4 linked regions of the Coturnix japonica genome follow. The protein of the gene in region 4 purifies or fractionates together with the protein of the main gene of each other region. This does not show direct contact. Links are inferred from orthologs where the notes say so. Each region holds a gene or a part of one and is shown on either strand. Other genes may lie near its edges. The genes, in order: PLK1, VAPB, VAPA and PRKAR1A.

Evidence for each region.
Region 1: the proteins of PRKAR1A (region 4) and PLK1 purify together in Homo sapiens (affinity purification with mass spectrometry; 4 studies listed by BioGRID and IntAct, with this or other methods). This does not show direct contact. The link is inferred for Coturnix japonica from reciprocal best matches to the Homo sapiens genes PRKAR1A and PLK1.
Region 2: the proteins of PRKAR1A (region 4) and VAPB purify together in Homo sapiens (affinity purification with mass spectrometry; 3 studies listed by BioGRID and IntAct, counting the BioPlex papers as one, with this or other methods). This does not show direct contact. The link is inferred for Coturnix japonica from reciprocal best matches to the Homo sapiens genes PRKAR1A and VAPB.
Region 3: the proteins of PRKAR1A (region 4) and VAPA purify together in Homo sapiens (affinity purification with mass spectrometry; 3 studies listed by BioGRID and IntAct, with this or other methods). This does not show direct contact. The link is inferred for Coturnix japonica from reciprocal best matches to the Homo sapiens genes PRKAR1A and VAPA.

The regions. Positions count from the first base shown.
Region 1 is NC_029529.1:6,808,886-6,814,643, forward strand, and holds the start of PLK1 (serine/threonine-protein kinase PLK1), read left to right. Parts: upstream 1-2,153; 5' UTR 2,154-2,335; coding exon 2,336-2,713; intron 2,714-2,912; coding exon 2,913-3,081; intron 3,082-3,173; coding exon 3,174-3,318; intron 3,319-3,519; coding exon 3,520-3,613; intron 3,614-3,912; coding exon 3,913-4,132; intron 4,133-4,442; coding exon 4,443-4,601; intron 4,602-4,818; coding exon 4,819-4,896; intron 4,897-5,360; coding exon 5,361-5,515; intron 5,516-5,758. Other genes in the region: DCTN5 (dynactin subunit 5), read left to right, coding at 183-203. UniProt on the Homo sapiens protein: Serine/threonine-protein kinase that performs several important functions throughout M phase of the cell cycle, including the regulation of centrosome maturation and spindle assembly, the removal of cohesins from chromosome arms, the inactivation of anaphase-promoting complex/cyclosome (APC/C) inhibitors, and the regulation of mitotic exit and cytokinesis.
Region 2 is NC_029535.1:10,109,057-10,114,056, reverse strand, and holds part of VAPB (vesicle-associated membrane protein-associated protein B/C), read left to right. Parts: intron 1-2,166; coding exon 2,167-2,319; intron 2,320-5,000. UniProt on the Homo sapiens protein: Endoplasmic reticulum (ER)-anchored protein that mediates the formation of contact sites between the ER and endosomes via interaction with FFAT motif-containing proteins such as STARD3 or WDR44.
Region 3 is NC_029517.1:88,647,983-88,653,565, reverse strand, and holds the start of VAPA (vesicle-associated membrane protein-associated protein A), read left to right. Parts: upstream 1-2,008; 5' UTR 2,009-2,140; coding exon 2,141-2,216; intron 2,217-5,583. UniProt on the Homo sapiens protein: Endoplasmic reticulum (ER)-anchored protein that mediates the formation of contact sites between the ER and endosomes via interaction with FFAT motif-containing proteins such as STARD3 or WDR44.
Region 4 is NC_029533.1:6,401,621-6,407,156, reverse strand, and holds the start of PRKAR1A (cAMP-dependent protein kinase type I-alpha regulatory subunit), read left to right. Parts: upstream 1-2,067; 5' UTR 2,068-2,188; intron 2,189-2,896; 5' UTR 2,897-2,960; intron 2,961-4,058; 5' UTR 4,059-4,060; coding exon 4,061-4,237; intron 4,238-5,536. UniProt on the Homo sapiens protein: Regulatory subunit of the cAMP-dependent protein kinases involved in cAMP signaling in cells.

The sequences.
Region 1 (5,758 bases), on a different chromosome or scaffold from region 4:
AGACTGCAACTGGAGAAGTTTCAGACACGCATTCCCACAACTACTTGTGCAGTGCAGCTGCAGTGTGCTGAGGGATGCATAACAACACAGAGCATCACATATTTCTCAATCTATTCTTCTTTCCAGCAGGCTGACCCAACCCTTCTGCTTTAATTGAAACCTGTTTTATTGTCTCTGTTAAGGTGGCCTCTGCCAGGGTTTAAAAAGTCACCACTGAAGATCTCAAATGCTCAGCACTGTTAACATTCCTTACACCTGGTTACTTTATCCTGTCCTCTGAAGCATCACTGACCTGGGCTCACCTCCACACCTGTGCCAGCTCTCTGCCACGATGCACCCAGCTGGCCTGTAGCCATTGACACAACTGCAGTACCCAAGGTTCCAGCAAATAGCAAAGCACAGAATATGTTGGCCAGCCAGGGCCATCAACTCTGTCCTAAAAGAAACAGCTTTCCTTATTGGGAAAGGGAAGCTACAACAGAACTGTCCTCATTTGACTTTCAGCAGGGTGGAGCCGTGCATGCCTGAAGGGAGAAGGCATGAGAAGCTCACGGCCAGAGCTGCCCCAGATGGTTTTTGCTCTGTTCATGGCTGTTTTCCTTTGGTGTTCTATTCTGCTCCAGAATGATCACATTAGGGGATGAGAATGTAAAGTTACTTTTCTCACCAAATGATGTTAGGCTGCAGTGAACTCTCCAGCCTTAGTGCATGCGGTTTGTTGCTGACGTTCTCTTTACCAGCTCGTGTTCCACGTTATGGCTGGTGAGGGAAAAGAATCATCAAGGAGGCTGGGTACAATCACATCCACCTGGTGATATGGCACCTTGGTGGCAGAGGGGGGAAGAAACTGAAGAATATGCCAACAAAAATGGGTGGATTCTGCACAATAAAGAAGTGTCACATTCTTGGGTCAGTGTGGAAATGTATTTTATAAGCCAAACGTTGTCACGTGGAAGCATCACAACAGGCTGTGTGGAAAAACACATCGAGCATGAATTCCCTGCACATAGTGAAGTGTGGCAGTGTGAAAAGCTGCTCACAGCCCACAGGGAGAGGGAGGAGATGGATAAATCCCATTGCGTGATCCCTGCAGCAGCTTCAGCCCCGCACTGAGCGGGGACACCCACAGCTTCATCAGTGCTCAGAGCCCCATCCAGCCTGACCATGGGTGTCTGCAGGCACCACCACCTTTCCGTGCACCCTGTGCCATTCCTCACCCCCCTCTCTGCAAACAGCTTCTTTACATCCAATTGAAGTTTACATCCCTTTTAAAACCGTTTCCCCTTGTCCTGACGCACAGACCCACCTTTCTTATAGCTCCCCTTCAGCTCGCTCTCCTGTCGCCCCGGAGGGCTGGCAGTGTCCATTAGTTCTCCCGTGTAGGAATCACCCCGCTGCCAGTTCCTGCCCCAGCCGTGCCAATAACCCACTGCGGTGCCGATAACCCACTGCAATGCCAATAACCCACTGCAATGCCAATAACCCACTGGGTGCCAATAACCCACTGCAATGCCAATAACCCACTGCAGTGCCAATAACCCACTGCGGTGCCAATAACCCACTGCAATGCCAATAACCCACTGCGGTGCCAATAACCCACTGCAATGCCAACAACCCACTGCAATGCCAATAACCACTGCAATGCCACAATTAACCCACTGCAATGCCAATAAACCACTGCAATGCCAATAAACCCACTGCGAATGTCAATAACCCAACTGCAGTGCCCAATAACCATGCGGTGCCAATAACCCACTCGGTGCCATATAACCCACTGCAAATGGCCATAACCCAGCTGGGTGCCAATAACCCACTGCAATGCAATAAACCCACTGCAGTGCAATAACCCACTGGTGCCAATAACCCATGCAATTGCCAATAACCCACTGGGTGCCAATCAACCCACTGCAATGCCCATAACCACTGGGTGCCCAATAACCCACTGCAATGCCAATAACCCACTGCAGTGCCAATAACCCACTGGTTGCCATATACCCCACTGCGTTTGCCCATACCCGCCGCGCCGCTCGCTCCTCCCGCCCGCTGGGTGGCGCTGTGCTCCGTCCCCGCCGGTTCCTGTCTCTTTAAGCCGGGCTGTGTCGCTCCGCTCCCATGTTGCTCCGCGGCGGGCGGCGTGGATTTTAAATCCTCCGGACCAATGAGGAGCCGCCGCGGGCGCGTAACGCTCGGGGGCCGCGTTTGAATCGGTCTGAGCGCCGCACATAGAGACACAGCGACACAGCGCGTCCCGCACGGCTCCGCTTCGGGGTTCGGATCCGGTTCGGTTCCGCCTCATTCGGCTTTGACTGCAGTTCTCAGCTCGGACAGCGGCACCATGAACGCGGCGGGCGGCAAAGCCCGACCGGTGGCTGCGGTGGAACCGGCCCGATCGGGTGGAGCGACGGCGGCTGCGGGTAAAGAGGTTCCGAAGGTTCTGCTGGACCCGCGGACCAGGCGCAGTTACGTGCGGGGCCGGTTCCTGGGCAAGGGCGGCTTCGCTCGGTGCTACGAACTGACCGAGAACGAGAGCAGGGAGGTGTTCGCTGGGAAAGTGGTGCCCAAATCGCTGCTGGCCAAACCGCACCAGAAGGAGAAAATGTCGATGGAGATCGCCATCCACCGCAGCCTGGCGCACCAGCACGTCGTGGGCTTCCAGGGGTTCTTCGAGGACAGCGATTTCGTCTACGTGGTGCTGGAGCTGTGCCGCCGCAGGGTGAGGGCGGGGGGTGCGGGTGGGGGCTGAGCGGGATGGGAGCTGGGTGACCAACACCCCGACCAACACCCCATCACCGTGACCAACACCCCCATCCCTATGTGCTCTTATCCCCGAGTGTTCTTATCCCTATGTGCTCTTATCCCCGTGTGTTCTTATCCCTATGTGCTCTTATCCCCGTGTGTTCTTATCCCCGCAGTCACTGCTGGAGCTGCACAAGCGGCGGAAGGCGCTGAGCGAGCCCGAGGTGCGTTATTACCTGCGGCAAACCATCCTGGGCTGCCAGTACCTGCACAGCCAGCGCGTCATCCACCGAGACCTCAAGCTGGGAAACCTCTTCCTTAGCGATGACATGGAGGTGAAGATCGGTAGGTGTCGGGGTGCGGTGCCTGCAGGACCCCCATGGCTGTCCCACCCCACCTGGGTTCTCTCATTGCTCCCATCTCTGTGTCTCCCCAAGGTGACTTTGGCTTGGCCACCAAAGTGGAGTATGATGGTGAGCGCAAGAAGACCCTGTGTGGGACCCCCAACTACATCGCCCCAGAGGTGCTGGGCAAGAAGGGGCACAGCTTTGAAGTGGATGTGTGGTCCATTGGCTGCATCATGTGAGTCAAAGTGTCTCCTGCAGGGCTGTGAGGTCCCTGTGCCCCACATCCTGTTGGCCCCTGTGAGGTTCTGGTGTATCCTGCAGCTATGGATGTGCTGTATCCAGCACACTGCCATGGCTGCTGGCACCTGACCTCCCTGGTGCTCTGGGGGAGGGAGGGGAATAAATCTAACACACTTCCATGTCTACAAACACACAGGTATACTCTGCTGGTGGGGAAACCACCTTTTGAAACCTCTTGTCTCAAAGAAACATACCTCCGAATCAAGAAGAATGAGTATACTATTCCCAAGGTAAAGTACTTCTCATGGGTGGGTCTATTCATCTTGCAGCCGTTCTTGTACCATCCCATTTCTGGCACTCAGTGGGCTCTCACATAATAGTGAAGCAGCTATTATCACAGTGAGATGGGAAGGGGCTGTATCAATCAGTGGCAGAGTGAACCTGTATGGTTCTGTCTCCCAGGCTTATGTCCTGCTTGCCTGACCCAGAGCTGTGCTCTGAGCAGAACCTGTTGTATTATACAGAGCAGATGCCACTAATGTGTGCTTGTCCTTCTGCTTGACTCACAACTCTGCCTGTCTCCTCCTAGCACATCAACCCTGTAGCTGCTAACCTCATTCAGAAGATGCTGAGATCTGACCCTGCCACGCGCCCAACTATCAATGAGTTGCTGAACGATGAGTTCTTCACATCAGGGTACATCCCCAGCCGCCTGCCCACCAGCTGTCTCACTGTTGCACCTCGGTTTTCAATCGCTCCCAGCACACTTGAACTGAATGGGCGAAAGCCACTGACGGCACTCAACAAAGGTAAGAGGAGGCGTCTGGAAGTGAGGGCTGAGGACTGCAGCACTGGATGAGTGCCTGCCTGGCCTCTAGCAACACACAGACCCATCTGTGGGGAATATAGTGCTGCCTCACCTACTCTCCCAGTTCTCATGATAACTAGAACATATCGTGTCTGGGAGTTCTCCTTGTTCTTTGTCCAGAACCAAAGCAGGGAGCAGTTCAGCTATGAGGTGCATAATGTGTTTCTTATAACTAGGGTAGCATGTAAATTGGTGCTTTTAGAAACTTGCTGCTCATGTTTCTGCAATCTTCTCTTTTTTTTCTGGCCCAGGACCAGAAAGCCCTGCATTAGAAAACCTGCCTGAAAAGGAAGATGCAGCTGGGCTGCGGGAGGTGGGAGACAGCATTGAGTGTCACTTAGCAGACATGTTACAGCAGCTGACTGCAGTCAACTCAGCCAAACCCTCTGAGAGAACTGCAGTGAGACAAGGTGAGTCTGGGGACAATCCCACAGGCACTGACATTTTTGGACAACTTGCTTCTGTCATTGATGCCTCTTGGCTGAACTGAGGGACCAACTGACCTCAGCTTCAACCTGAAAGGCAGAAAAGCAATGTGGAAGCTACTTACCTTCCTCTTGGCCTTGCTTGCTGTGCTGCACAGCATGCCTTAAAATGTCTTCTAACAAACTCCTTTTCTCCTTGCAGAAGAAGCTGAAGACCCAGCCTGTATTCCCATCTTTTGGGTTAGCAAATGGGTGGACTACTCGGATAAGTATGGTCTAGGTAAATAACATGATGGCAGTACTTCAGCCTTTTCTAGCTCCTAAAGCAGCTGGTAGAAGTCCTGATCTGTGCTCAGTGTAGATTTAGTTCTTAAATCATGATCAGTGTTTGCATTCAAGAGTATCACCGGGAGCACCATCAAACACTAAGTGAACACAGAGTAATGGCCACTGAATATCTACCCTGGCCACATTAAGGATGCAGGCAGCAGGACCCTGTGGATCCAAAGTGGCTAATGTGTGTACTCAGTGTAGGAGTTGAAGTTGCTTATGCAGCAGATAATGCAGCAAAGGAGGGTGACAAACCCAGAGGAGAAAAAAGTGCCATCTCGACCTCTGTTAAAAGGAGGATCTTTAAAATTGATGAGGTGGCCTCCAGGGATCCCCTAGATGATCCAGCTCTGTATTTCATGTAACCAAGGGTCCCATGTGTGTGAAGGTCTGACAGGCTTTTTTTTCAACCAGGTTATCAATTATGTGACAACAGTGTTGGAGTTCTCTTCAATGACTCCACTCGTCTCATTATGTACAATGATGGGGACAGCTTGCAGTACATTGAGCAAAACAACACCGAGTCCTACTTCACTGTGAGATCCTGCCCCTCTGCCTTGAATAAGAAGGTCAGTCCAGAGGACAGGAGCCCTTGGTGGTGGGTGGCTGTTCCTGATGAGATTTCTGCAGGTCTCGTTGAGCTTTGCTATCAGGGTGGACAGTGGGGGGGGGGAAACATCTGTTACTGGGAGTCGCATTCAGCAGGATTCCTCTTGGCTGGTAAAATGTGACCCAAAAGAGAGTTCCTGGCAGCATCTTGCTTTTTTCTAGTTGCTAACTGAAGCTCATTTCTGAGCAGCTTCACATAAATA
Region 2 (5,000 bases), on a different chromosome or scaffold from region 4:
ATTCGAATAGCGGCGCTGTACTGAATATGGGTTTGCTGAAAGCAGACGTCAGCCCTGTGGTGCAGTTGTGCTGGCTGACCTCTAAGACCCGTAATTTGGGGGAAATGTATCTAAGAAACATTCTGTAGCCCAGCAGAGGGAAAAGTCGAGCAGACAAGAAGAAATTATTTCAGTCTGTTGGAAGGTTTTGCTGCCAAATATTTCGGTATGGTCTATGTTAGCAATAAGTAAATCCATTTGGAAATTATTCTACACATAGAATTATTGTCATATTACTTTTACAAACAGCAGCTCTGTGCTGGGGCTCACAAATCCCACATGCATTCATGGATCAGCCAAGTAAAAACACGGTATTTCCCACAGGAAATCTGTCCCAGCGTGCAGACTAGTAAAGCTCTATTGAGGATGCAGCTGCACATGTAGGGCTGTGTGCAGACGAGCCTCCCTCTGCTGGAATAGCTCACACTGTAATTTGTGTAAATGGACGTTCATAATGTTAAAGCATCGAGTAATTTCTTCTGAAACGTTAGACCCAATTAGGTCTACCTGAAAGATCTGCTGCCATCTTTACATTCCTCAATGTTTCGCTGGATTTTTCTGATAGCTGGGCTTGTTGAATTTCTTTAACAGCTCTTGGCTTCTGCTCAGTTATTTTCCATCAGACCTAGAGAGCCTGCATGCAGAACGCAGACAAAACTTCAACAGCTGTATTTCATTCTTGTTTGCATCTCGGTGTTTCACCAGGTGCAGGTTTGAGTCTTTGTCATTGGATCTGAGCATTTTATTGCTTCTTCTTTGCTGCCAGGTTGCATTGTGAATGCAGAGCTGGCTTGCTCAGAGAGCAGGCAGAAAGGTGCCACAGTGCTGGTGGTGGTTTGGTTTGGTTTGGTTTGGTTTGGTTGATTTGTGTTTTTAGGTGGAGGCTGCAGGACTGCAGTGCTTTGTTGTTTGTGCTCAGTGGCACCTTAAGAGATGAATTGATATGATAAACTTGTAGAAAAGAAAGCTGCCTCAGGTGATTTTAATCCATCCCTGCTGCAACTGAGAACCTGTCTTGTTTTCTCAAGAGAGCAGGGGGGTGACCATGCGTGTATTTATTATTACTATTAATTATAAAAATGATCATTCACAGTTTTTAAACATTAGGGCTGTCCTGTCTTCAAGGAAAAGAATTGATGGGGTTTTTGTTGTTTCGTTTTCTTTTTCAAGTTTACTTCTATTTCTGAGGATAGGTGAAGGTATTTCATTCAGTTAGCAGGTAACTTCTCTTGTGCAGAAGACAGCTGATCAAAGGGGGTTTACAGTGCTGTAATCTTATTTCTCCGTGATCTGAGTGCAGTCACACAACACCTGCCTCATTTATCCGTGTCTTATAGAAAGTCAGTAATGAGCCTTTCCCCCCACCCAGGGGATTCTGATGATTTCAAGTAGGTATTGAAGCCTATGAGAAGTTACTGCTTGTTGTTTCCAAACTTGACAGTGGTCTGATTCTGGCTTTGCTAATACAGAAATCACTGCCAGTGCTGTCAGCATCCAAGAATTCCCCTCTTTGCGTGTGGTTGTTTCCTGTCTCAGTGAGGCTGGGTTTTTTTTATGAAGATCTCTTCTGATGTATCATTTGTTGTAGCCAGAAGGATTCTTTAAAAACAAGCACATGTGATGCACAGTGGACGCTCATCTTGCTGGTTTTGGCACAGCCTTTCTAAATAGCGGGTGGAAGGCTTCATGGAGGTGCAGTTTATGAGCGTAAGGTAAAGCTTACTGACATTTGTAGGTTTTGATATCCTCCCCTGCTCAGTCTGTACATTGGTGTATATGGCTTCTCTGCAAGCCTGGGTGGTTCAGCAGTTAGAATGGAATAACTGATACAACAGAGAATTTGGCTTCATTTGAATAGCACGTTGTTGTGTTGGTAGTGTGTATAAATGATTCCCCCCTTTTTGTTTGCTATTAATGATGAGCTGTTGTGCTGTGAGCATACAGTCATGCTCAGTGGCCTCCCTACATCCTGCGCTTTGCGTGTGTTGTTATCTGTACGTGCCATAGATGGAAGTTGAACATCTAATTACTTTATAAGATTTGTGAGCAGAGATTTGTAACCTGCTTAGCCTCTACTTGTCGAGTGTTTTCTGATGCAATCTAAAGCCTGCTTTTGCTCTTCCTCAGGTCCATTCACAGATGTTGTCACTACAAACCTGAAACTCGGCAACCCTACAGACAGAAATGTGTGCTTCAAAGTTAAGACCACGGCACCACGTAGATACTGTGTAAGGCCTAACAGTGGAATTATTGATGCAGGAACATCAATTAATGTTTCTGGTAAGTCATACAATCAGTTCTTTAGTGACTGAGGATGGCGTCATCAAATGAATTATTTCTTGGAATGTTTTGCAATACAGAAGTACTGTGTGGAATGCTTGTAAAAGCAGGAGGTTACGATTTCATGGAGGAGCAGCCATTTCATATATATATAAATATATCTTCGCTTCTCTTAGTCCTGCTCTAGCAGTAATGGGTTTGTTTTGACATCTTGTTTTGAGGGAGGGAGGAGGAATATATAAATAATTTATATGGTTCCGTAGCAGCCTTAGCCAGCCTATCCAAGGCAGTGCTGCCGCAGCCCTGCCCTCCCAGTGGGATTATTTTGGTCCGGTTGCTTTTTGCCAGCTTAACTTCCTGAACCAGCTCACTGCAGGATCTAACTAACGAGTGCTTGGACAGGCACAGTCCACATGGGTGGACTGCAGCCACGCTGATTCAGGCTGATAGTTGGTTGCCAGACTACCCAATATAACCAACCAGTTAAGAAAACATTTATTTTGAAACCATGCTTGTTTTGTGTTCCTTGGAGATGTAATATGCTTTGGTGCTAGAAACATCAAGTGACTAAAACTGTGCTATTTCATATGAAAGGTTAATGATTTTCTCTAATGAGTCAGTAGTTCTTCACTTGCCAAAGTTTGGTAATGGAAAAAACAAAGGAGCGGGTTACACTGAAAGCATAAAGGAGTGAGTATTTGTGTAATCTAAAGAACTCTCTCAAAGCATTTCACGGTGGCAGGCTGCAGAAATCAGGTCTGGTTTTTGAGGTACAGGAATGATTTCTGAAGATTTGTTTTTACTACTTTAATTAAATTTTAATGCTGTGTAATAGAAGCAGATGGGTTACTGGCCAATGGGAAGATGATCAGAACAGAAGTTATGTATGGCAAAACACATAACCTGTTAATTAGTCTCCTACCAAGCTACAAGTGTGGATAGTGACAGGACAAAGAGAAATGTTTGCTAGCAAGTAACACGCTTTTTAGAACGTCTTCTTGATCTCAACATCTTTTTTTCTTAAACTTCTGCTTACAGCGACCCTTTGCTCTGCCTTGAGCAGAACATGGGATAGGCAAGTGCTGTGTGAACCTGTATCTGAGGTGCTTTTCCAGCCCCATTCTTCCCAGCAGCATCCCAAACAGAAACCAGACCAAGACGTGACCTGCAGTATCCTGTTGTGAAAGATTGCTGTGCTTACCCTGTTATGCTGCTCTTGCTCACAAAGCTTTGAAAAAACTTGCCTTTTATACGTAACTTTTATTGTAGAATTTGTGGCTTATGATTCAGTTTTGCAAATGATTTTGGAATATTTAATCACAGAGCTTACATTTTTTGTTTTACTTACTTACATGATTCTCTTTACTTAGTCATGGTAATAAACTTTGCTAAATTACCAGCCCTTCTATTAACATTATGTATTAAATGCAAGCAGTTCGCATACATTGTCCTTCAGGTGACACATTAAGGTAGATTTATGGGTAGATATGTTGCAGAATTCTGGAGTTACGGATGTTAATTCTTCATTTTCTAACCCATTCTGAATAGAAGCTGCTGTCAGCTCGTTTTGTGGTTGAATTTCTATTGAAACTCTTGAGCTAATTGGGCAGTGTTTACTCCTTGTAGTCTGTTCTCTTGAGAACTGCTGACTGACTTTAACACAGTAGCACTGACAGAGCACCTCCAGCCTGCAAAGAATGGTCGGTGCCAAAGTACAATGATGTGAATTTGTTTCTTGGAGTATTACTGACAGTTGGGTTCAGGGCAGCCTTGTCTTCCTTGCACCATAGCAGCTGAGTGCCTTTCTTACATGCAGTTCCACAGGCGTGTCCTATTTTGGTTGAAGTTCACGAGAAGGTGTTCTGTCCTTAGAGGCTGCTCTCAGAACATTATTTCATGCCAGGTCTTGGCTCGTTTCGCACACATAAAATGCTAGAAAAGCAAAGCTTTCTTTATTCTACTGCAGTGTTGGATACTGGCTTCTTTTGCCCTATCACAGCTGCTCCTAAATACCAGCATTTAAGTCTCAGTTAGCATGCACTGCTTGCTGCAAAGTCAGGTTTGTAGCCCATGTTTTCACCTGTTATATAATGGTGTGTAATTTTAACAGCTGAGTTTATGTAACTGTCAGGAAGTGTATGTGTGCTGTCACCCTGTTTGATTGCGTTTGGTTGTAAGTACTTGGCAAAGAAGGCTGTTTGCACCCATTCTGTTTTTGTTACACGTGTCTTATTTGAACAAAGACAGCTGATTTTGTGGCTTCCGAGAGGTTGAAATCTAAATAAAAGATACAAATGAATTCCAGATGAAGAGTGAGAAACTAGAAGCAGGTGCTGATGTCTGCAGCTAGGTGTACAACGGAGAGATGAAGGGTGCATGGTGTGCCCTGCTGCACAGAGCAGCCCAAGCAGACTCCTGGGCATGGGGAGAGCTGACGTTATCCTTGTGTTGTCAGGTACCCTGATCTTTTGTGCAGTTACCTCACTAGGAAGAGGTGGGTTGTGTTTCCTTCAGGTCAGGGCTGCCCACAGCAGTTCTGCCCCTTCTCAGCCACCAGCCATATGCTGCTCCCCTGGGCCTCATTGGCCAACATGGCAAGTGCTGAGCATGGACTGCGGTGGATGTATGGCTTCCAAATGATAATAGAAATTGCTAGTGATGTTTGGTATTAGTCTTGTTAA
Region 3 (5,583 bases), on a different chromosome or scaffold from region 4:
TACACTGTAGTCTAACAAACTTGATGTGATACTCAGTTAAGATCTACTTTTCTAGCCTGTGGTAACATTGGAATAGTGTCATAAATCTTCAGAGAGGTATGGATTGTAATTTTACCCTTGATTTACAATATAACGAGTAGGCCTCAAATTATATATGGAACTCATTAGCTGCTAAGTAAATTATGACCACGGCCTGCTGTAATCTGTGTGTATGCTATGAATAGTTTTGTGTTTCAGAAGACAAATTGCAGCACCAAGAGGCCAGGTATTTCCTTAAAGAGAAATAAAAACAGACCTTCAGCTTTACTTTGCAATATTCATTGACTTGGCAGTACAGGATACGTATGTTACTTCAGTGAGCGAGACTGAGGTTTTTCCATTAACATGACAAGTAACGTGGCACTTGGTTGCTTTTTCTGACAATCTTAATAACACCAAGGAATTGCAAAGCAAGCCATGATATTGTTTTATTGCAAGACACTTTCAAGTTCAGAGTTGGCGGAACCGAATAAACTACCTGAATAATAAACAGTGGAAAAGAGTATTATGAAACTGAGCCTACATTGATACTTCTCAGGCATAAAGAAAACTCATTTAATATTTAATAGCAAACAGCTCTGAAAAATGTCAGGCAGTCTCCAAACTGAGATACTATAACAACAATGATGCTGAATTCACAATGTGAATAAACATGAAGATCTACAAGCACACAGGACAAATGTTAAACTCACGTTAAGCAAATGTTAGCTGCCTGCAAGCAGTGATACAGATACTAGAGACACCTCCGGAATGACATACTAGGAGAGTGGTTAGGCCCTGGAACAGGCTGCCCAGGGAGGTTGTGGATGCCCCGTCCTTGGAGGTGTTCAAGGCCAGGTTGGACGGGGCCCTGGGCAACCTGATCTAGTAAATGTGTATGTTTGGTGGCCCTGCCAGGCAGGGGGGTTGGAACTACATGATCCTTGAGGTCCCTTCCAACCCGGGTCATTCTGTGATTCTGTGAATGACATCTCACTGCAATTGGTGAGAGGTTTTGCTACTGACTGCAACAGAGTCAAGACAGCCTATTTAAAAAGAGAAAGGAGAGAACCTCTGGAGGTATTTAGAGTTTTGCAGCAGCTCCTCGTATCTCACAGAATCACAGAATTGTAGGGGTTGGAAGGGACCTCTAGAGATCATGGAGTCCAACCCCCCTGCCAAAGCAGGTTCCCTACACCACGAAATTCTTTGAGAAAAAAAACTCAGAAATTCTTCAGGTATATAACTACCACATAATTCCGGGGCTGAATTATTGCTTCAGAGAAACACTGTGGAGTAATCTTTGGTGAGTCCACGAGAGAAGAAATTCCATCACCCACACTCCGATCTTGCATGAACTCACCCAGGCCTTTCACTTTTCACCCACTCTTACCCTCTCTCCGGCAGCTTCAATGACACCACACTGAGACGCCAGGCAGAGCACGACGCCACATCACCACACACCACCCCAACCTGGACTACAGAGCCCACCAGGCACCGAGAAACACTACAACCCCCAGCGGCGCATGCGTGTGCCCCGGTGGCGCAGTGGTAGCAATGCCGCGTTGCAACACTGGAGGCCCTGGGTTCGAATCCCCCCTGTGGCGCAAGTGGTAGAAGTGCCGCTCTGCTACACAGGGCTCGAATCCCGGGGGTTGGACTCAATGATCTCTCAGGTCCCTTCCAACCCGCACAACACTGTGATACTGTGTGATGCGCAGCGCTCCCACAGCCCGTTCCCGGAGCGTGGATCCGCTCCTTCCCGCTCGGCTCCGTCGCAGGGCTCCCGTCAGGGCCGGCGACCGGCGGTGGGGGAGCGAGCGAGCAAAGCGGGAGGGCGCATGCGCACAGCAGGCCCGGTCACTGCCGCCTCCGCCCTCGTGCCCGCGGAGTGGCGGCGTTGCCGGGGGCCGCCGGTGCGACGTGGGGAGCGAGCGGTGAGCAGCGAGCAGCGCCGGGCTAAAGAGCGGCTGCACCCGCCGCAAGGCGTAGGGAAAAGCGCTACCGCCGCCCGGGCTCCCCGTCCCGCCCCTCGTTCTCTTCCTCCTCCTCCTTCTCCTCCTCCTCCCCCTCCTCCTCCCACCCTCCCCCTCTCCTCCTCCCGCCGTAGCGAACGAGCGAGATGGCGGCCGCCGGGGCTCTGGCGAAGCACGAGCAGATTCTGGTGCTCGATCCGCCCACCGACCTTAAATTCAAAGGTGAGGGGCAGCGGGGCGCCGGGCGGCCGGGGCGGGGGGTGTCCCGCTTCCCTCGGCCGTCGCGAGGAGCCTCACCCCGTTCCGCGGGGCCGGGCCCTGCCCGCTCGGGTCCCTCGAGGAGGCCGCCGGCGCCGGGGTGGGGGGGTGCCGCCGAGGCGGGGAGCGGGCTCGGCCGCCGCCATCTTGCGATCCCGCGGCGGCTCCGGCGTGTCCGCGGCCCCGGCAGCGCCGCGGCCCGGCCCCCGGCGGGCACCGCGCCCGGTCTGCCCGCACAGCGGCTCCGGCCGCCCCCTGCCATGAGTGCCTACACGGGCGGCTCTGCTGTCAGCTCCGCCGGCGCTGAACGCTGCAGGTAGGGGCGGGAGGGAGGTCCCCGGGCTGAGGTGTTTTCGGGCATGTCACGTTTGTCGGGTGCGCCGCTGTCGGAAGGGGCTGCGGTCGGCGCTATTGGTGTATGGGGTGTTATCCCCTCCTCACCAATCACTCCATTCCCACAGCTATCCCAGCTGTGGCTCCTGCAGAGTGATTCTGGAAAGGTGTGTGTTAAAAAGAGCCAAACGCAACGGCAAAGCAAACGTGCTAGAATGAGATGTTGCTCATATGCTTAGCTTACATCTTTTGTAGCTGGTGTCAACACTCGTACTTGCATAATCCCGTAAGTGTTGGTGTTTGGTTTTTATTAGGCTCGTTTTTCATTGTTTAAGGGGCAATCGAGCATCCTGCCCTGTCAATTTAGAGAGCTGAACAAGCAGAGCAGGTTGATGTTCATATCAAAGACAAACACTATTTCCCCCAGATACTTTTGTCTGGTCCTGGCAATAAGACTGAAGTCTGCTTCATCAAAGGGGCTTTTCACAAGCTTTACCTGTTTTGGAGAGCCATCAAATCACTTAAAACAGAAAAAAAGGAAGAATTCTGTCGTGTCACGCATCTTAACTTCCTAATAGCTGCAGTTTTGAAATTGCACATCCAAAGGTACAACCAAAACCACAGTGGGAGCTTATGTATTATGTTAGAATATCTGCACCTGGGTTTCAATGCGCTGCACTCTTGCAGGAGCAGGTTGAAGCTCCTGCATCTTGTGTTGTCTTCAAGCTGGAAGCAAACCGTGTTTTTGTGTGGTTTGAAACGGTGTTGGTGACAGTGAATACAGCGAGTACTAGACGTAGAAATTGTCAGGATGAAGCTATTGTCAGACAGTGATCGGTGCTGTCATGTGTTTACAAAACACGTTTATTAGGCACGAAGTTTGGTTTCATGCTCATGCACATGGTAGGAAAATGTTGAGCAGATTGAGCGAACCTGAAGTCTGAAGTGTAATGGAACTGCAGTGGGACACCATGGCAAGTGCTCTCTAATACTGTATTATTACTGTAATACGCTACAGCAACACCTACCTATTTAAAGAGCAGCTGGTGCTTTCACAGAATCACAGAATTGTAGGGGTTGGAAGGGACCTCAAGAGATCATCAAGTCCAACCCCCCTGCCAAAGCAGGCTCCCTACACCACCTCACACAGGTAAATATTTTCCACCTGCTTATTGTTCTGAGGTCTTCAGAAAGGTCTGTGGGCCACAGGTAGTCATACAATTCTGAAGTGTTGAATGGAAGAGTTCACTATTGGCTGAAGAGAACAGCAAGTATTATCTTTTGAAACATAATTGGTTACTAAGAGAGTGCATGACTCAGAGTTTCTCAGCGTAACTTCGATGTAGGAAAATCATATGATCTCTTTTTTTTTTTTCAGTGTAGTTGGTTATTCAGAATTGTTTACTGGGATGGTTGTCCAATATTGGTATTATCGTCCTAATACTGTTGATGTCCGGCCATCAGAACAGAACAAATAGCTCCATAGGTTTTCTTGCCTCATTCAGTGACTTGTAGAGAATTTGCCGACCTTTAGGGTAGCAGTGAAATGTGTTAAAGTGCCCTTTTGCAAACAAGGACTTAAATTAAAGGGTTGGTAGAACTTATGTGAGGAACACTTGACAGCACTTAAAATTCATCAGCACTGTCTGATGAAGCTGTTGTTGGCTCATAGAGAAACTACGTGCTGAATTTGATTCCGCACCTTTCAAAAGGAGCCTATAAACTTGTCTCATCGTGGTTAACACGCTGTGTTTGCTTTGGTGTCAGAAAGATTAGAATCCCATTCTTGTAGTACCTGGCATTCCTAGGAATCCACTGATAGCGCGTTGGTGTTGGGCGATTCCCTCTGCTGCTGTGATAGCTGCGTTTCTTTGGGTTGTGGGGCCATCAGGGATGCCTAAGGGGAACCACGAGGCAAATGTATTTTGGAGCGTTGTGCAAATGTGTCAAGAGGAACAGAATTGTCTGTAGGTCTCGTTTAAGGAAGATTATCATCATTTGGAACTGGTTCCTTGTGAGTAAATACCTTGGTTTTTTTAGATCTATTTTAGCTGCTGAACAGTCATGTAGTGGAATGACGACGCTTGAAGTTTTCAAGTCCAAACTTTCTAGTTTTGTGATGGAAACTCAGCTGGTCTTCCTGAAATCAAAAGAGACAGTGATGTAATTGCAAGTTAACTCACATTTAGGTTGTTCTTAGAAAATGGTTCTTTTAAGAAAAAACATACTCCAGATTTTTACCCCAGACATAAGACCTGCTTTTGCGACATAGAATCATAGAATTAGCCTGGTTGGAAAAGACCTTGAAGATCATCAAGTCCAACCGCAGCCTAACCAGAACCCTAACTCTAACAACCCTACACTAAATCATATCCCTGAGCACCACATCCAAACGGCTCTTAAACACAACCAGGGATGTCAATTCAACCACCTCCCTGGGGAGCCTATTCCAGTACCTAACTACCCTTTCTGTAACGAAGTGTTTCCTAACATCCAACCTAAACTTGCCCTGGTGCAACTTGAGGCCATTTCCCTTCATCTTGTCACTTGTCACCAGTGAGAAGAGACTTTCCCCACTCTCACTGTAAGCACCTTTCAGATACTGGAAGAGGGCGATAAGGTCTCCCCTCAGCCTCCTCTTCACCAGACTAAACAGCCCCAGCTTCCTCAGCCTCTCCTCATAGGGTTGATTCTCCAAGCCCTTCACAAGCCTCACTGCCCTTCTCTGGACCTGCTCCAGTACCTCCATGTCTTTCCTGTGCTGAGGTGCCCAAAACTGAACACAGTACTCGAGGTGAGGCCTCTAACATGTAGTTGAAAATCAAGACTTGCTGTTTTGATGAGCCTTGGAAGATCAGCAGGCAGTATTCAGAGCTTTGTATTTCGTGTGCTTCAGAGATGCCTGATGAGCAGTTCTGTCAGATGCTATAAGGATGTATGAATAGTCTATGTAGACATCCTTTATGGAAGTTGTTGCTTGCAAGCATGTGAAATCCAG
Region 4 (5,536 bases):
ATTTACTCAGGAGGTAAGACGTTCCCAGCATTGCCTCTTGGGTGCTGGAAGCCTTCCAGCTGGAACCATGCTGAGTGTGCCATGGGCTGTGCTGTAGCAGGCACGTCTTGCAGATGGAAACAGATTCCCTGACTGGCCTATCTTTAAGATCTGGGCACTTCAGGGCATTTTTTTTTCCCCTTGGCTCTTGCTTACTGTGTTTTGAGACTTACCAGTCATTTTCTTCTTCAAAGTAACATATGGAAATGATTTGAGAACTGCTGCTCAGAGCAAACTTGTTTTGCAATGGGGACCATTTCACACAGCTGTCTGCCCGGTTGATGTGTGGCAGGACCAAAGAAGGGTTCCATGCACCATCTTCCAGGGTCCTGGAGGTTTTTATCCCACAGCACAGGATATGACAGGGCTAGAGCAGGAAGCTCAGGTGGTAGCTGTCCTATGGCATGGATTTTGATCACAGTAATTCCTTGTTCTGTTCTTTTATGACCTGAATTATTTCTCTTTCGTGTGGCAAAGTTACAGATGTTGATACCAGATTTACTTACTCATCCAGAAGCTCAGACTGCATGGCAAACACAGCACATTGGGACCAAGTGCTGCACTTTGGGCTGTGCTTCTTTGGATCCAGCTTGTATATTAAGGATGACACATTTACAACACTTATGTGATTTAACACATAGATCTGGGAGATGGGGTGCCACTGTGGCTTATCTTCTCTTCCTCAGCCTCACTGCCCCACTGTCAGACCGACAAATTTATTGGTCTTTTATGAGACCAAGAATATGTATCCTAATTAATGCAGAATGGAGGTAAACAACATGGTTAGGAATGATGATGTGCCGCTCTCACTCCGTCAGTGAAGGAACTGCAGTGACCTTGCAGAAGGCTGCTGGTTTTAATCATGATAATTGTGCAGCTGACACCCTTGTTATGAAGACGAAGCAGAAGTGGGTGACTGCATGAACCAAAGAGCAAAGGAGCGGTCACACAGCTCCAGGTTCTCCAAGGTACTGGGTAACCAGCTCCTCTAAATTCACAAGGCCTTCAATATCTTTGTATGTTTCAGGCCATGGATTCCCTCACATCCACAATGTCTGTCCTCCAACTCTTGCCTTAAGAGAGCATGGAAAGTGATAGTAACTACTGTTTGAAGCCACATGTAGGTTTGACATAACTACTGACTCCTGTGAATGCCAACCAAGGATGAATGTAGCCTAAGTTTCCCCCATGGTTTGCTGGCTCCATCACTCCCTTAGCAGTCTGGGCAGCTCTTCTCTGCTCTTCAGCAGCCACAGCCTCACACAATTGTCTCATGAGAAACTCTTAATGCATGAAAGTGTGAACTGAAAGCTGTGGGAACAAGCGCTGATGGTAATGCAAGTTATTTACTCCAGAATACTCATTATTTAATTAGACACTTAACACCAGGGTTTCACTGCAATCCAGACCAGACTCAACGGCAAAGCCTTTTGTTTGTCATTCCTTTCTTTTTAACACATGAATACATACAAATCTATGCTTATGAGGAGCATGATTTCACTTTGCAGGGTAGTTCTATGCTCTCACAGCGAAGGATTTACACAAAATTAATGAGAGAAACCTCATGTTAGCACTACAAGGCTCCTTTTAAAGCCTGTTTTGCTCCCTTTATTACACCGCTGCATTGCCATATGAACTCCTGCTCAGCAGAGGGTTGCATCAAGATGAAGCCATACAACAAACTTGTTTTCCTGATGCTGTAGAACAGGTTTTACATACACACACACACACAGAGCTTTGTTCCAGCTGGGACAAGGCACCAAGGCTTGTCCCAACAGCGCTCCATAAGCATTATCGGGCCCTCACCATTCACATTGGGATACATTCAGTGTTTAACAGCTTGCATGGGGTACCCAAACCCAACCCCAGGCCGCCCCATAGTGACACAGACCTCCCCCCCATTAGCAGCGCGTCTTAAAGGCGCAGCATCACTCAACCAACACCGCATCACCGAGCTTACTAAAGAGCGCTGCGGTCCCTTTAAGGTTACCTCGACGACGGCTCCGGGTGAGAGCGAGGCTCATTGACGTCACGCCGCTCTCTGATTGGTCCAACCCGTCCATTTCCGGTGGGAGCCGCCGCCGTTGCTGTCGCTGAGGCCGAGGCGGGGCAGTGGGCGCTGAGGGCCCGAGGAAGGCGGCCGCTCCAGGTGAGCGCTGGGTGCGGCCTGTGAGGAACAACAACCGGGAATGGCCGCTGTGTGGTGGGGCTGAACGGGAAGCTCGAGGCCTTTAGGGTGGGCCTGGCTGCGGGGGAGCAGCGCCGGGGCCGGTACCGGAGCCTGACTGGGCCCCAAGGCTTGTAGGCCCTAAGGTTGTAGGCCTTAAGGCTGTAGGCCCCAGGGCTGTAGGCCTTAATGCTGTAGGCCTTAAGGTTGTAGGCCTCGAGTTGAGAGGCTGCGTTGTGGCCTTGCGGGTTCAGGCAATAGAAACGAAAGCTGCGGGGTGGGGCCTGGGGATGGGGTGGCTATCGGGCTCTATGAGCACCTAAAGGCCGTCCCCTCCCCACTCCCATTGCGGTCCCTGTTTCCCTGGGGTTCATTATTAGCGCTGACCTTCACCACGCTGTTATCAAAGCAAAAGGAGCATTAGGAGAAGGGAAATGCTCCTTTAGTCGTTTCGAGTCTGTACTTAATGTCTATGCGGTGTGTAATGTGTCTGCCCGGGGTTGGCTGTAACATTTGCAGCTCTGTGTTAGCTCTGTGCCTCCTGTAATGCCTGGCAGGACGATTCCATTGGGTACAGTGTTATATCACCTGTTATCTGCTGCCTGTAAAGCACGATGTGGCAGCTCAGTGACATGACATTTCAATATTGCTTCATCTGAATCCTTTTCTTTCTCTCTTCTCTTTCTAAAGCTGATCCTGAGATCAACACTTCTCACTGAACAGTCCTAAGCTGTTGCCGCTGTCTCTGTGCCAGGTAACTTTCTTTATATGTCATCAAAAATACCTTGAGAAATCATTTCCTCTTTCTTTAACTGTCTTATGGGGAAAAAAAACCAAACAACTCAACATTGATTTTATAAACATATACATAAATGAATAAATAAATTAGCATAATTTTATAACGTGAAGTATAAAAAAGAATAGACTTAATGGTATTTTTTTCAAAGTCTTGTGGCTTGCTCTGTGATTTCAAAATCTCTTTAAAGCCTGACAGTGTGATGGGTCTGTTTAAGGGTCCCCTCCTGATAATCCACAGCTGAAGAAATATTTTTGGGGATGGAGGTGTATTCACGGAGGTAGTTATGAAGTGTGGAATGATTTAAACTAAGGAGCTTCTATAAGAGGAATGCTTCTAATTCCCCAGTTGTCATTGATGGGCATTTGTTGAGCTGGCTTTGATTTGACCTTAGCACATCTCACTTCTGGATACCTGTAGTGTTTGTGTCTCAGATTCCTGGTTTCCACCCACCAGTCTCCTGTTCATCACCACCTGACCCCTGGTTTTAACTGGGGTAATGTTAATCTTCACAGTAGCTGATAAGGTGCAATGTTTTGGGTCTGGGAGGAGAGCAGTACTGATAGCACACCAGTGTTACAGCCATTACTGAGCAGTGCTTACACTAAGCAAAGGCTGTTTCAGCTTCTTGCACTGCCAAGCCACTAAGGGGCTGGGATGGGACAGAACCAGAACAGCTGCCCCACCTGGTTGAAATGGTTCTGTACCATGTGTTGTCGTACTCAGCAATAAAACTGGGGGACTCGGCTGGGGGGGGACAGCTGCTGCTTGGGGACAGACTGGGCATCGTACAGCAGGCTGTGAGCAATTGCAGTGTGCATCATTTGTTTTATTTTTTCTTTTTTTTTTGTTTGCTCTGTTCCTCCCCTCCTCATAGTTTCTTCTTTCACACTTTAGCTTTGTTACTGATCTTAGATATGAAGATGACTTTATCCAGTGATGTCAGTCAGATGATAATGCAGCATGATTTTCCTTTAGGCGATATAACGTGTCTGACTATATTGGGCTGCACCATCTTTTCTGCTAGTTCTTTAACTTTCTCTTTCTCATTTTCAGCAATGGCAACTTCCAGCAGCAGCAGCAGTGAGGAGGAACGTAGTCTTCGGGAATGTGAACTTTATGTCCAAAAACACAACATCCAACAGCTTCTGAAGGATTGCATTGTGCAGCTGTGCACCGTGAGACCTGAGCGACCCATGGGATTCCTCAGAGAATACTTTGAAAGATTGGAGAAGGTAAAAATTCCTTTCTGGGAGAGAAGGAGAGTGGAACAGCCAAAATTTGCACTGTTTAACTTGATTTAATGGCTGAGCTTCCAGTTTGGCCCATGTTTGTATTGGCTGTTTGGAACTGGGCCTGATGCTTTTGGAGGATGAATGGTATTTTCTGTAGTTTTTGCTAGTGGCTTGTGGTATGAAAGCACCTCTTGCTTTGTTGTGACAGAAGTAAACTGACAAGGACACTTACCCACCTGGGATTCACGTGTGATCCTAGTCTAGTGTTTGCTCATAGAAACTGATAGATAGGACACGTGATCCTGTCTGTGGTCAGTTGGTAAATGTGCTGTGTGACCCTGGTAGCTGCTGGTGATACACATTTGGTTTCTTCTGTTGAGGCAAATTGATTGCAAAGATTCAGGTATAGAACAGCAGCAGGCCAGTGTGGTAGTTAGCCCGGCCTAGCTGAAATCAAATGAAAGCACTTATTTTCCTGATTTCTAAGAGAACAAGCCTGTTTCTTCATTCTGTTGGGAACTGAGTGTTACTGTTTTGCTTTTTGTTCCTCTCATTTGTCCTGAAGGTCTCTTCAGTGTTCTTGTTGAAAACCTTGTGATCTTTGGAATGAAAAGCGTTTTCATTTCAGTGCTCATATTTGAATCAATTTAACGCTGATTTGAACAGTTAATTGAATATAACTATAGCTTAAGCTGATAGAGAATAATCTGCTATGAAAACATGAGTTTTTAAGGGTGAATGCAGAAGAAAGATTAGCTGTAACCACTGCACTCAGCACAGGTCGTTAGTAATTACTGTAGCTGTGACCTTGTACAGCAGTCATTTGCAGGTGCTGCTTTAGCTTCCCATCTTACGTGGAAACTATATCTTTGTCTTTTTTCAGGCTCCTAATAATCCTTCATCCCCACCTTTTACTGTATCAGCTTTCCCACCTTGTATTCTTGGGTTTCTAGTAGTGATACATTGTAAGGTTTGGTGTATCAATGCTTGTGCTAATGTTGCTTTAAAAACTATCAAAGAAAACTGTTCTTTTGAAGTTAGGAGGTAGAACTTGGAATAAGCGAAGAGTAAGCAAAGCCACGAAGGGACATAAAACAGAAGCATGGCTATATGTGCCAACTCGTGTGGCTGTAGCTGCTGGTGGAACTGTAGCCTTCTTATATTATTGAATATAAACATTGCCATGTCTTTCTTCAAGGTAATTTCATAGTTCAGCCATATGGGTTGGTCTTAGTTTGAGCAGTGTGTTGAACCTTCAGAGCTATCAAGTAACAGAGCTGCGCTGCTGCTATTAACCAG